Elephas maximus indicus: one gene and its partner. The protein of the gene in region 2 interacts with the protein of the main gene of each other region in a pairwise test. Links are inferred from orthologs where the notes say so. Each region holds a gene or a part of one and is shown on either strand. Other genes may lie near its edges.

What was found.
Region 1: the proteins of TPM3 (region 2) and SYCE1 interact in binary tests that used the Homo sapiens proteins (3 or more experiments, as listed by UniProt). The two-hybrid records come from large-scale screens. The link is inferred for Elephas maximus indicus from reciprocal best matches to the Homo sapiens genes TPM3 and SYCE1.

The regions. Positions count from the first base shown.
Region 1 is NC_064834.1:83,296,924-83,304,171, reverse strand, and holds the start of SYCE1 (synaptonemal complex central element protein 1), read right to left. Parts: upstream 3,019-7,248; 5' UTR 2,865-3,018; coding exon 2,795-2,864; intron 1-2,794. UniProt on the Homo sapiens protein: Major component of the transverse central element of synaptonemal complexes (SCS), formed between homologous chromosomes during meiotic prophase. Requires SYCP1 in order to be incorporated into the central element.
Region 2 is NC_064821.1:191,974,364-191,981,478, forward strand, and holds the start of TPM3 (tropomyosin alpha-3 chain), read right to left. Parts: upstream 3,011-7,115; 5' UTR 2,953-3,010; coding exon 2,836-2,952; intron 2,264-2,835; coding exon 2,138-2,263; intron 1-2,137. UniProt on the Homo sapiens protein: Binds to actin filaments in muscle and non-muscle cells. Plays a central role, in association with the troponin complex, in the calcium dependent regulation of vertebrate striated muscle contraction.

The sequences.
Region 1 (7,248 bases), on a different chromosome or scaffold from region 2:
TATTCCAGTGTGATGTTTTGAAGTACTCTCTATGTGGTAACCAATGGTACAACAATTGAAACCAAGGTATTAACAGTGATAGATATTAACATCTGCTCCTCAAATGGCATTCAAAAATTCCCCCCTTCTCCTTTACATTTTAGTATTCCACAAGTTATTGTTGGTGTTAGGTGCTGTCAAGTTGGTTCTGACTCACAGTGACCCTATGTACAAGAGAACAAAACACTGGCTGTTCCTGCACCATCCCCACAATCATTGTCACGTTTAAGCCTATTGTTGCAACCACTGTGTCAATCCATCTCATCGAGGGTCTTTCTCTTTTTCGCTGACCCTTTACCAAGCTTAAAATCCTTCTCTAGGGACTGATCCCTCCTGATAACATGTCCAAAGTATGCGAGATGTAGTCTTGCCATTCCTGTTTCTAAGGAGCATTCTGGCTGTACTTCTTCCAAGACAGATTTGTTTATTCTCTTGGCATACCATGGTATGTTCAACATTCTTCATTAACACCATAATTGAAAGGTGTCAATTCTTCTTCAGTCTTTTTTATTAGTTGTCCAGCTTTCATATGCCTATAAGGCAACTGAAAACACCATGGTTTGGGTCAGGAATACCTTAGACTTCAAGAAGACATCTTTGTTTTTAAGACTTTAAAAAGGTCTTTCTTAGCAGATTTGCCAAATGCAATGTGTCTTTTGATTTCTTCACTGCTGCTTCCATGGGTGTCGACTGTGGATCCAAGAAAAATGAAATTCTTGACAACTCCAATCTTTTCTCAATTTATCGTGATGCCGCTTATTGGCCCAGTTGTGAGAATTTTTGTTTTATGTTGAGGGGAAACCCTGGTGGCATAGTGGTTAAGTGCTATGTCTGCTAATCAAAAGGTTGACAATTCAAATCCACCAGGTGCTCCCTGGAAACTCTATGGGGCAGTCCTACTCTGTCCTATAGGGTCGCTATGAGTCAGAATTGACTCGACAGCAACAGGTTTGGTTTTTTTGGTTTTTGGTTTTATGTTGAGGTGTAATCCATACTGAAGGCTGTAGTCTTTGATCTTCATCAGTAAGTGCTTCAAGTCCTCTTCACTTTCAGCAAGCAAGGTTGTCATCTGCATAACGTAGATTGTTAATGGATCTTCCTCCAATCCGGATGCCCCGTTCTTCTTCATATGGTCCAGCTTCTCAGATTATCTGCTCAGCATACAGATTGAATAGGTATGATGAAAGGATACGACCCTGACGCACACCTTTCCTGACTTTAAACTACAAGTACTACCTACATTTTCTTAATAAAAAAATCAAACCATATGATTCAAAATGACCCTTCACCTCCGCACCACCCTCTAAATCAAAATCCACTCCCCAGAATCATAAATTAAGAACGCAGCCTCCAAACATTTTTCTGTGCAACACACAGCACTCTTATAAACATAATTTTTCCAATTACTTTTCTTTCATAAAAATATGTCCTCTGACAATCATCTGTGAGTATAAATATATCCAATAATGTAAAAATTAACTTTAATTAATATTTAACTTAATTTTAATTAAATTTCTTATTTTAGAAATCCACCACCAGGTATTTCACAGTGTGCATGAGTATACTTTGATTTATCCATTCCTTTCCCATTTTCTGCTACCACCAGTGGGGCAGAATCTGTGTGTTTTGTGTGATCCGCTAGGAAGGTGACTGAAAAAGGAAAAATCAATTTAAATGTTAAAAATCCTGCCAGATGTGTTACTGCAAAACCTTTACCCACTGGTCTTCCTACCAGCTCAGTATGGGGAGGCATGTGTCCCCACAGGGTCACTGACATCAGACATCACCCTGCTTCCCTTTCTGAAATAATCCGATGGACTGAAAATTTAAATTTCTTCCTTTGCTGTTGAAGTTGAAAAAACCTTTATTTAAATATATTAGCTTATTTGAGTAACTTGATACCGTGACACTAAGAGACTTCTACGGCATGGTGAGTGGAGACCACAGCAGGTGCTTTAAAAAATGGGATATATATAGATCTGTCCAGTTTATTTTTCTCTTTGTCCTTAGGCCTGTCACTGGGTGTCAAGTCCTACTCTAAGAGAGCTATCTGTGCTAAACTTATTTCATTATTCAAACATTTATTTTGTAAAAACACTACCAAGCACCCGCATGTGTCAAGCAGGCACTGGCGCAGGTAAGTATCGAGACAGTGATCAACAAGCGCGTTGACTACAGCATTCTACGGTTCAAAATTCCCAAAGAACACACTGGGGAGATTTTTCTGTTTTTCATCTCCTTGCTGGGCTGCAATTCCTCAATTTTAGTACAATGTGAACAAGCTGCGTGTCCCTCCTTTCCCTGGTTGCCCGAAGGAAAGACAGTCTGGTCTCCAAGCAAACCAGGCACAGTAGGGACATCTGGGGCAACAGGGAACTCTGGCTGTGGACTGGCCGTTAAAATGAGGATTCCCTTAGGTGTGCACTTCAAGGGAAAAGCCCTTTTATTTTTTTTGTTTGTAGATACTCATACGGAAATTCTCACGAAAACTACTTAAATTGCCTCAGCAAAAACTCAAAGGAGCAAAATACAGTGCAAGTTAAATGAGTCATATAAACTATTCCCTTCTCTTTGAAGAACGATCAACGTTTTTTTACAATAAAAAAACTTAGAATCGTTTTCAGTCACTTTCATCCCAAAGATGGAACGGCCCAGCGTCCGCGCACCCGCCCAGCTGGAGCGCGCTCGGACCCCGCACCCCGAGTCTTTTCCAACCCAGCTACCAAGAAGGCCCTCGTCGGCCTCCCGCCACTACCTCCGCCTTTTTCAGACCGGTCCATGGCTCCTGCGAGCTCCGCATTCGAAAGCCCCGACCTTCCCGCCATTTCCTCTCAGCTCGGAGGTGTTGGCGTCTTCGGCGCTTGGGCCGATGATTGGACCAAACCTTGCCAGGGGCGCGACCCCCTGCAACACGCCTGCGCAATGCACTTCCGCCCTGCAGTTACTTCGCGAGGAGGGAAAGAAGAGAGAAACAGGCGTGTAACGGTTCCCCGCCTGAGCCCTCAAGAAGTCGGGCGCCCTGCCGGGCAGCTAGTACGCATGCGTAAAACTTGCAGGTCCACAAATCCAGTTTAGAGAACGGCAGGGCAGCCTGCGGCCTTGCTATTCGTCAGTTGAGGAGCCAGTGTCCTGCGCATGTGTAACGACACGGGCGGGGCGCGCTCCTTTAGCATCTTTGGTGCTGCGCAGGCGTGGGCCTCTAGCCCCGCCCACAGAGGCTGGAGTAAGTGCGCATGTGTTGTGCCATGGCGCCAAGAGCTGGCGTTCCTGCTCTGCTAATACTCCTTAGTGAACAATGGGCTCAAGCATAGCAGTGACAGTGAGAATGCTGCAGCACCGGGCAGTGTTTCCTTCTGTAGTACATAAGGTTGCTGTGAGTCGGAACTGACTCCACGGCACCTAACAACAACAGGGAACACCTGATGCCAGATGTCCTCATTTCACCGATGGCTCCAAGGCAGGAACTTGGGGTCGCAGCCATTTCTTAGTAGAGAACTCCAGAGACAAAAAGGGACGTACAGAGAAACATTCCATGAAAAAGAACACGGAGACACACGGGGAGATACTCAGAACCGGCTACCAACGGCGGTGTTCAGCGGCCTGCGGGCCCCGCCCCCACCAATGCGGGCGGGGCCTCGGAACCACGCTCGGACGCCTGCGCATTCGTTCTGGATCCTGCCCTGAGGAGCCTGCGTTTTGTGCCACGGCGTCCTGGGTGCTCCCGCAGGTCCTGGTCTGGTTCCCTCAGCAGGCCCAAGTCTCCACCTCTTCCTGGGGCCTCTGGACCCCTTGCCGACGCCCAATCGGTGGAGTCGATGGGCACGTTCTACTTCAGCGCATCACGACCGGCAGGCCCCCTTCTCCCCCACACCCCCCCGCCGGCTATAGGGTCAGGGGCAGGGGAGCAGATGCGGACTGTCTGCTGTGCCAGAGCTTTATCTCTGGGAAGAGAAGATGGGTCCCGAGTTCCCTGGGGGCCGGGGCGGGGGATACAATTCTAGCCACTGTCCTGGAGGCAGTATTTGAGTATGTTCCTGACATCAGGGCTGCTCCTTCTGCTCCACAGGCCCGTACGTCAACCTGGCCCCGAGGGCAGGCCTGGCGAGAGTGCATCCAGAGGACCCCGGCCGGCATCCTTGCACCCCTTAGCCCTGCTGGCCAGGCTGGCGTGACCCGCTGTTGCTGCCCTCTGGTTGAGCAAGCTGACGTGGAAGCTGAGGCAAGAGGACCAGGACTGGGGGTTGGCCTGCAGCACCCTGCAGGGACCAAGAGGAAGGCAGCCTGCAGTGGATCATGAGGTGGCCACGTTGCAGGTGCAAGTCTGCCCCGCCCACGCAGAGCCACAGAACCCGACCACCACCTAGAGGGCCCTGGGGAGAGGGCCTCATGCCCGCCGGTCCCTCACATCAAGAAGCTCTCCCTTGCGCCCACCTCCATCAAGTGCTTGATTGGGATCGTTCCCTGTGACTGAGAATGGATCCATCAATCAATTGAACAGTCAAACATAAAACAATAGCTAGCCAAATAAACCCAATCTCGTTGCCATGGAGTGGATTCTGACTCATAGCGATCCTATAGGACAGAATAGAACTGTCTCAAGATTTTCAAGGAGCTGCTGGTGGATTCAAACTACCAACCTTTTGGTTAGCCACAGTTCTTAACCACTGCATCACCAGGGCTCCAAAACCATCTGTTGTTAGATATTGTCAACCCTACATACAATAGAATGAAACACTACGGGATCCTGCGCCGTCCTCACAATCGTTGCTATGTTTGATCCCATTGTTACTTCCACTGTGTCAGTCCATCTCATTGCGGGTCTTCTTTTTTGCTGACCCTCTACTTAAACAAGCATGATGTTCTCCTCAATGAACTGGTGCCTCCTGATAACATGTCCAAAGTAGGTAAGACGAAGTCCCATCATCTTTCCTTTTAATGACCGTTTTGGCTATACTTTTACCAAGACATTTATTTGTTCTTTTGGCAGTCCGTGGTATCTGCCATAACTTAAAGGCGTCAATTCTTCTTTGGTCTTCTGACTTATCTTCCAGCTTTCGCATGCATATGAGATGATTAAAAACAACACGGCTTGGGTCAGGCACACCTTAGTCCTTAAAGTGACATCTTTGCTTTTTAACACTTTAAAGAGATCTTTTCCAGCAGATTTGCCCAAATGTGTCGTTTGATTCCCTGACTGCTGCTTCCACTGGCGTTGATTGTGAATCTGGGTAAAATGAAATTCTTGACAACTTCAGTCTTTTCTCCATTTAACATAATGTTGCTTATTGGTCCAGTTGCAAGGATTTTTTTTTTCCTTTATGTTGAGGTGTAATCCTGCCGTATGATTAATTACTTTTCTGTGTGGTCTTTCTAGCCATGGTCTTGTAACTCCCACTCAGGTGATTGGGTGGGACTGTGTGATAAGATAATTGTGGCCCTCCAAGGGGCTTGGTCATTTTTGACTTAAAAGAGAGCCAATTCCAGAGCAGAAAGGAGGATCCTACCACCACCAACGAAGAACAGCCAGGAGTGGAGCACGCGTCCTTTGGACCCAGGATCCCAGTGCTGAGAAGCTCCTGGAAGCAGGAGACCAAAGGAGTGAGAGAGCAAGCTATAACCCTAAAGAGGGTGAGAAGCGGTTGCAGGAGAGGCCTGGCAGCAGGAGAAGGTGGATTGGGCTTCCTGGCCCACAGAGAAAGCTGACTATCTTTGGGGAGAGGCCTAGGGCTAGGGAGAGGTGTGCCTGTGAGCAGGGTTGGGAAGAGGCTGTCCTGATGAAAGAACTGTATCCTGAGTGTTCTTGAGCCAGAAGTATAACAGTTACTTCCCTTATAATAAACCCTAAATATGGTCTTTGAGTTCTCTGTGGTCATTGCAGTGAAATATCGAGCCCAGCAGAGAAGTAAAGAGTGCTATGTGAGGGACAGTTGATGTCAGAATTAGTACAGATGGCAAAGAGAGGAAGCTTGTCTGGCCTCTGCCTCATGGGAGTCAGCCTTGTGCTGTTGATCTTGATTCTCCTTCCCCCTTGGGTTGGAGAAGGTCAGACACTGCCCCCACACCATTTTTACAAATCTATACTGAAGGCTGTGGTCTTTGATCTTCACCAATAAGTGTTTCAAATTCTCTTCACTTTCAGCAAGCACTGTTGTGTTATCTGCGTAACGCAAATTGCTAATGACTTTTCTTCCAGTCCTGATGCCCCGTTCTTCATATAGCCCTGCTTCTGGGATTGTTTGCTCAGGATATAGATTGAAAAGTATGGTGAAAAGATACAACCCTGATGCACACCTTTCCTGACTTTAAACCACACAGTATTCCCTTGTTCTGTTCAAACAATTGCCTCTTCATCTAAGCATAGATTCCTCATGAGCACAATTAAATGTTCTGGAATTCCCCTTCTTCCCAATGTTATCCATAATTTATCATGATCCACACAGTGGAATGCCTTAGCATAATCAATAAAACAGGTAAACATCTTTCTGGTATTCTCGGCTTTCAGCCAGGATACATCTGACATCAGCAGTGATAACCCTTGTTCCACGTCCTCTTCTGAATCTGGCTTGAATTTCTGGCAGATCCTGTCGATATACTGCTGCAGCTGCTTTCGAATGATATTTAGCAAAATTTTACTTGTGTGATATTGATGATATTGTTGGATAATTTCTACATTCTATTGGATTTCCTTTGTTTGAAATGGGTACAAATGTAGATATCTTCCACATTTCTTGGCATAGATGAGTTAGCGCTTCCAGCATGGCATCAGTTTGTTGAAGCATCTCAAATGGCATTCTGTCAATTCCTGGAGCCTTGTTTTTCTCCAGTGCCTTCAGTGCATCTCAGTACCGGTTCTTGATCATATGCTATATCCTGAAATGGTTGAACACTGACCAATTCTTTTTGGCATAGTGACTCTCTGTATTCCTTCCATTTTCTTTTGATGCTTCCTGTGTCTGCTTTTAGGTCATTAGGGCTCAATGCATCAAGTCTATTAATGACATGGTCTCTAAATTCAGGTGGGATATATGCAAGGTGGTACTTTCGCTCTCGTGGACTTGTTCTAATTTTCTTCAGTTTCAACTTTAACTTGCATATGAGCAATTGGTGGTCTGTTCCGCAGTTGGCCCCTGCCTTGTTCTGCCTGATGATGTTGAGCTTTTCCATTGTTTCTTTCCACAGATGTAGTCGACTTGACTCCTGTGTATTCCA
Region 2 (7,115 bases):
TCTGTGGCAGTTACTCCCGTTGTAGGGAGAAGGCATCCGGTACACATGATTTATTTGTATATGAATGGGCATGGCTGGGTTCCAATAAAACCTTATTTACAAAACCAGGCTGCAGTTGGATTTACCCTACAGTTGCTAGTTTGCTGACCCCAGCTTTGAGGAAAGATGCCTTTTCTGCCTGCTGCCTTCTCAACCTACCCTAGAAGACTTTTGTCTCCTGCCCACAACCTTCCTCTTCCATTCCAATAAGTGTATGGTGCTTATTGACTTGTTGCACTAGCTAGTAAGGGGGGAAGAAGTTGAATGAGTTTTGTACCCACATTTTACATGTTGAAACGTTTTTGGCGGATTCCTGTATAAATGTCAGACATTTCGTTCAAGTGAATATACTAAGTAGACCTCTGTTATATGTAAGATCACCACGAGTCAGAGCTGACTAGATGGCAACTAGCAACAAAGACCATATCTGGGTGGGGGATGATGTGTGTGTGTGTAAAATAGATTAGAATGGACAGAATTCATCCCCAGGAAATTCTCTTATCTTCCCCATGATATTAATATATTGTTAAGGGCCTCTATGTCACTCTGCCTTTCCTAAGATTCAGGTTAAACTTTTTTTTTTGTTGCCCCTGGAAACATCCCCTCAAGCGCACATATTAGCTGTTTCAGCCTAAGGACTTTCCCAGAGAATTATTACCCAACATCTCACAAAAATGTTACTAGCCTGAAATTGTGCTAGTTTGTGAAAAGTCTCCCTACGCTGGTTTATTGTACCAATTCCTGAAAACTTCTATCCCTATGCCAGTTTACTGTACCAGTTTGTGAAAACTTCTGTCCGTATGCCGGTTTTTTGGAACCAGAGATCCACACATCCATACACAGACCTAGGCTAGGGCAACTCCAGCATGCCATCAAGCACTTGCCCAAAGCCCTTGGAGTAATCCATACTTTTTGCAGTTTTCCAAGAATGGGGTATTAATAGTTTGCAGTGGCCTAAACATTTGGAAACTCTACGTACGTATAAAGTATATTACTGCTTTCTGTCGCTAGTCTCTGGCATCATATATTCAACCCTTACCATTTCCCAGGGCCCCTGAAAGTGATAGAAAGCCAAACAGGAGATAGAAACCTGATGGCAAAAGCCTGAGTGTAAGGATCCAAAAGTATTTGTGAATGGCTTATTCATTCCTTCTAGCTATTTTCCAAAACCAAATGTGATTTTTAAGTGACATGCTCTTGTTTTCCTATTAACTCAGTTTGCTGAGCATTTTAACTCTATCTCCATCAACACTAGGATATTCTTCTGTCGCTGTTAAGATTCCTATGGTAGTTTTCTCCCCAAAGACTTTCCTATCTAGTCTCTCAGTTATCTTTGTGGCAAACTTCAAGGTTGAAAATGGAGAGTATTAAGTGAAACGGGGATAACATGAAGTGGGAAAGAAGATTTAATCTCATTTTTCAAATGGGAAAATTCAGCCCTAGAGAAGCTGAGTAATTGACTCAAGGTTATAGAGTAAGGTCTGGTGGTGATACTTTTGCCCTCTAAGATTCCTTCTTAGTTTCTGTTGTAGTCTTTCACCCTAAGGACCTCCCTGATGTCCTATGAGAATGCTTCATATGGCATCTCTGTTACTTGAGATCAGATGCCCAAATTGGCCAAGATAAAGAAACCTATACAGGCCCAGAGTCAATGTGACCTCCTTAGTCCCATTGTGAAATCCAAGCTGGCTTTGTTGGGTAGTTGGGAGATGAGAGATTCCCTATTAATACACATATCTTCATGCCAAGCCTTGGACACAAAAGCTAAGAATGTGTCATGGGGGAAGGGTAGGATAAGTGATAGCAACTTGGATTTGGAGTCTTCTCCTTTTATCCAGTTCTTGGGAAAGAATAAAATTCCTGGGCTGGCAGTGCAACAGAAAGATGAGACTTCTACATCTCTTTAAGGAAGAAAATATATGCTGTTCCAAGAGTATACCAGTATGTGGTTAGATGCAGAGATGTATGTGAGTATATACATATGTCTGTCTGTGGACCCACAAGTATGCATATGTCAAAGTGTGTTTGGAATTTAGTCACATATTAACATCAAGATCTATATGTGTGGATTAAACCCATCCCCAACTCTAATACTCACATCAGCTGCCTTCTTCTCAGCCAGCTCCAGCTTCTCCTGGGCATCCTTCAAAGCCTCAGAATACTTGTCCAGTTCATCCTCTGTCCCTTTCAGCTTCTTCTGCATGGCTGCCAACTCATCCTCCAGCTGTAGGAGCCCAGAGAGTCACATACATATACACAGCAGTACAGTCTTGGACCCTGGGCTCTTGAGCCCTACTAGGCCCCGGAGCCCAGCCTCTATGTTACCATCCTCAGAGACATACTTTTTCCCCAGCCATTTCCAATCTAATGCTCCAAGTGTTACGCTTCGGCCTTGGCCTGTGACCCTATGTTGGGTTGGATGCCAGGGTTTTTATCCAAGACCCTGGCATCCAATATCTAAGGTTATAGATACCTGTGACTCCATTTAACGGAAAAGAGATGCTGCATGCCAGGCCTTCCGCCTTTTCCGGGCTCTTCCAAAAGATGATCCACCTCCCACTTAAATCCAGCAGACATGCTGTGGCTCTGAGGGGGATCACTGACTTTCCCGAGGTCACACAGGTAGTCTGAGGCAGATACCGCAGATGTCCTCTGCCCCTCCAGGGAAGCTGGGAAGAAAAGTCCCTCTTGCCTAAAGAAGGAGCTGGCACCAGGGGTCACTGCTTTTCCCATGAAAACTCTCTCCCATCTCAGTCTTATTCATCAGGAGGTGAAAGACATCATGGCAGTGCCTACCTGTTTACTTCTTTCTTCTGCCTGTTTCTGCTCAGCTTCAGCTTGTTCTGCCCGATCCAGAGCATTCTCCTTGTCCAACTTCAGCATCTGCATCTTTTTCTTGATGGCCTCCATCATGAGCAGTGGCTGTTGGGCTCACCTGTGAGCACTAGAAACTGGAGACTAGGTCAAGAAAGGAAGGGCTGCTGCCTGAGTGACTAGAAGTTTCCCACACTTAAGCCTTTATCTCTGCTTGTGGCTCCACCTCTTATTCCTAATATGGCCCTTCCATCTCTCTCCACCCCATCGTTATTCTCCTGGGGGAACACAGGGTGAGACACTTTGATGGACTGACATCACCGGCAAAGAAATATCTGTGAACAGCTGAGGCTGACTTTAGACAATGGAAAGTGGAGGAGGGGAGACTCTCACCAACCCTGAAAATTTCCACTTATTCTAGGCAGTTCTATGGGTATTTTACAAGAGCAGGGAGAGGGAAAGAGAAAACATTGATATAGAAAAGGGAAGGGTACTTTGGCAATTTTAGGATGGCGTGAGTTTTCATCCAGAGTCTCAGTTGCCCTTCAGCTTTCCTCTTACTGTCACCCAGACTGAGTTGGATGGTGATCAGATTCCACTGGTTGGGTTTCATCTTTTGATTCCTGGTATCCAGGGAGCCTGGGCAACAGTGAAGAGGGGAGGTCACTCATGATCCTTAACAATTCCCCTAGATCCCAAGATCAAATTGCTTTGCTATTTTGGGAGTCCCTGATTAGAAGGGAGACATCATTCCTCCCTGCTAAGAACCACAGGGATGGAGTAAGAGGGTAGGTTGAGATCTGGAAGGCCATCTCAGAGCTTAAACTAGGATAGGGTTAGAGTGAGCCAGACAGGATCATGCTGATTTCCCATTAAAAAAAGCCCATTGCCATTGAGTCGATTCTGACTCATAGCAACCCTATAGGACAAAGTAGAACTCCCCCATAGGATGTCCAAGGAGCGGCTTGTGGATTTGAACTGCTGACCTTTTGGTTAGCAGCCAAACTCTTAACCACTGTGCCAGCAAGGCTCCGTTTTCCCATAGTGATCTTTAAATAGAACTTTTGTACCCACACGGACCAATGGGTGTGCTCGGGTCGGGGGACGGGGGAGGGTTATCCAATAGACAAGTAAGCACAAGGTTACCAGATCATCCGTAGTGAACAATTTCACATTTTTTCACCACATCGAAGATTCTGCTTCTAGGTATGGCTGGCATCTGTCTCTGTCCCAACCTCACAGCACCTTCCTGCAGAATCAAAGCCTTTTTTTAAACTGACAGTCATAAGATGACCCAGTAAGCAAAGTAAGCACAGGCTTACTTGTGCTTACTTAACTAATCTGTAATGAAATTGTTCATTCCAGATGATCTGGTAGGCAAGGTAAGCTTACCTTGCCTATTGGATAATCCACCCCGTGACTCTGTTGCTTTCTACTCTTCTTTCCGTCACCCTTTACCCTCTCTTTATCCCCACCCCCACCACCACTCGTCAAAATAATCATCATCATCAACTCTATTCTCCCCAGCTTAGTTCCAGGGCGTGTTCATTCTTCCACTTGGAGCCTCATTGCTGACAGGTGGCAGTTGATCACACTGGCACCATAAAACCTGAGAGTATGCCAGGAGAGCGGTGGGCACTGTTCAAGGTGACCAGAGCTAACAGGGAAGAATATAAATGGCTCAAATGAATCATTATGTCAAGGCTAGATGGATGGTGTTAATGCTATGCCCCAGCAATGAAGAAACTGAAACGACCAGCAAGGCATAGGACAGAGCTGGAGTCCACTCTTGAGAACTGAGAGCTTGCAGTCACTAGAGATAAATAGATAAACGGTCAGATAACACTTGAAGGAAAGCAAGAGACCAAAGACCTCTAATGTGCAGACCAGCCAGGGAAATGGATTAGGAACAAGAGAGTCCCAGGGGTGGGAAGCAGTGGATAATAAGTGGGGAGGGGGACTTGAATGAAAAAATACAAGGAAAGGAGAGGAGAGGTAAAGAGAGAAATCTTATCTACTAAGGGGGAAATTCCAACTCTCATCCCACTCATACACCATCCCTCTAGCTTAAGATTGAAATCTTCATGGGTTGCAGCCACTAATATGCCAGAGGGGGTCCTGAAGAGAAGTTCAATAGAAAAGACAGGATCCCCAGAGGTTGAGGTAGAAAAGAGTGTGCTGCTGAATTGCCAACTGCTGTAAGAATATGTTTGACATTTAGTTGGCTCCTAATTAAACAACCCAATATCAAACATATCATACAGAAGCAGGCAGGAGAGCTTTCGTGGTCATTTGTCTTTCTCCCCACTGCAAAGAAAAGACAGAGCAGATAAACCAGGCACCAGTCATGGTTAGATGAAGAGCCATCTCTTGGGGAAGGTCACTGGCCCCTGCTCTTCACCTCTCAAGACAGCCAGCTCTTGCTTATCTGCCCTTCATGCCATTCCTGCCTTAGCTCCTCGCCTACTAGTGCCTGGCCTTTGCTGGATCACAATGGCTTACACCAGGAGGAATACCTGGCAGGGCTCCACATCCGGGCACCTATTCTCAAAAACTCCCACATGGAGCTTCTCCCCCTGAAGTCACGGCCCCAGCGCACAGAGGATCAGCAGTGTCAGCAACTCCTCAGCAGCCTTGCCACCTGTTCTCCTCAACTCCACTCCAACTGCCCCGAGGCTTTCCATTTTGGGTGAGGTTGGGAGGGTGGCTTGTACACCCTGCTTTCTTTTTCCAGTAGAACTCCTAACCTTTCCAGATCTTGCCCGCAAGACAGCTGAGGTCTATTCTGTGGACACCATCTTGCTCTTAAATGCTGTAGCTAAGTAGCCATGAGAAACTTCCCAAATGCTTGGCCTCTTTCCACCATCCTGTTCCTTCTCACCTTCTCATGTCCTCCAGGCATCCTCCTTGAAGTCGCCCTTGGTTGTCCTATACAGAAGAGTGACCTGTCTCATAAGCAGGGTCTGGGTTTTATCCTGTCCTCTGCAAGTCTTGTAGCCTCCAGCCTGGGCCCCAGAGGAGAAGACTTATGGTCTCCCTTGCCTGGCAGAATTGAAACTAAGACTACAGGAGATCAGGGGTGAAGAAGGAAACCCCCACTGCCAGGGAGTAGCCTGCAGTCCTTGGGACTCTCCTCCTCTTCTGGGACTTTTAACTGTAAGAATTCCAGCGCTTGGGCTGCCTTCTCCAAGGGTCTTCCCTCAGGGATCCAGCCTGGTTCTCTTCTAGGGGATTTTTCTTCTGAAAAGAATCAGGTCTGTTGATATCAGTGGCAGGCTGATGCTTCTCTGTACTGTGGCAGAAAGGAACTCAGGTTATAGCTGCACTGGGGGCTGGGGGGCTTGGGTGGAAGTGCAGGGTTTGGGGTGGAGGCTCTGCTTCAGCCCCCAGGCCTGTTCCATGTGTCCTTGCTCCCATTAGCCTGGACACTTCCCCCCACTCCAACTCCACTCTGCCCTTGAAAGAGATCAATAACTTGTCCCAAGCCCTAGTCAGTCCTGTTGTATGGCTCTTGCCTTCTGTGGGAAGACTAACAAATGGACGTGTAGACCTCAGGCTAGGCACCTGTGGTGTTATGTCCTTGTTCCTTTATGGCTCACAATGCGAGAGGGTATAAGTTTTGCTTTTCTGCCCTCCCTTTTTCCCCTCACTCCCACCCCGCAAGTTCTAGTGCCTTCTCTGAGAACCTTGGCCACAATGGAGAACCAGAGGCTGGAGAAAAAACAGTCTGGGGAGAAAGAATTTTCAGCTATGACATCTCCGACCAGTGCCTGATCTCTAAAATCTATATGACTCTGTCAAAACTCAACCACAAAAAGACAAACAACCCAATCAAGAGGTGGGCAAAGGATATGAACACACACTTCACTAAAGAAGATATACAGGCAGCTAACAGATACATGAGAAAATGCTCTCGATCATTAGCCATTAGAGAAATGCAAATTAAAACTACGATGAGATTCCATCTCACTCCAACAAGGCTGGCATTAATCCAAAAAACACAAAATAATAAATGTTGGAGAGGCTGCGGAGAGATTGGAACTCTTATACACTGCTAGTGGGAATGTAAAATGGTACAACCACTTTGGAAATCTATCTGGCGTTATCTTAAACAGTTAGAAATAGAACTACCATACAACCCAGAAATCCCACTCCTCAGAATATACCCTAGAGAAACAAGAGCCTTCACACAAACAGATATATGCACACCCATGTTTATTGCAGCTCTGTTTACAATAGCAAAAAGCTGGAAACAACCAAGG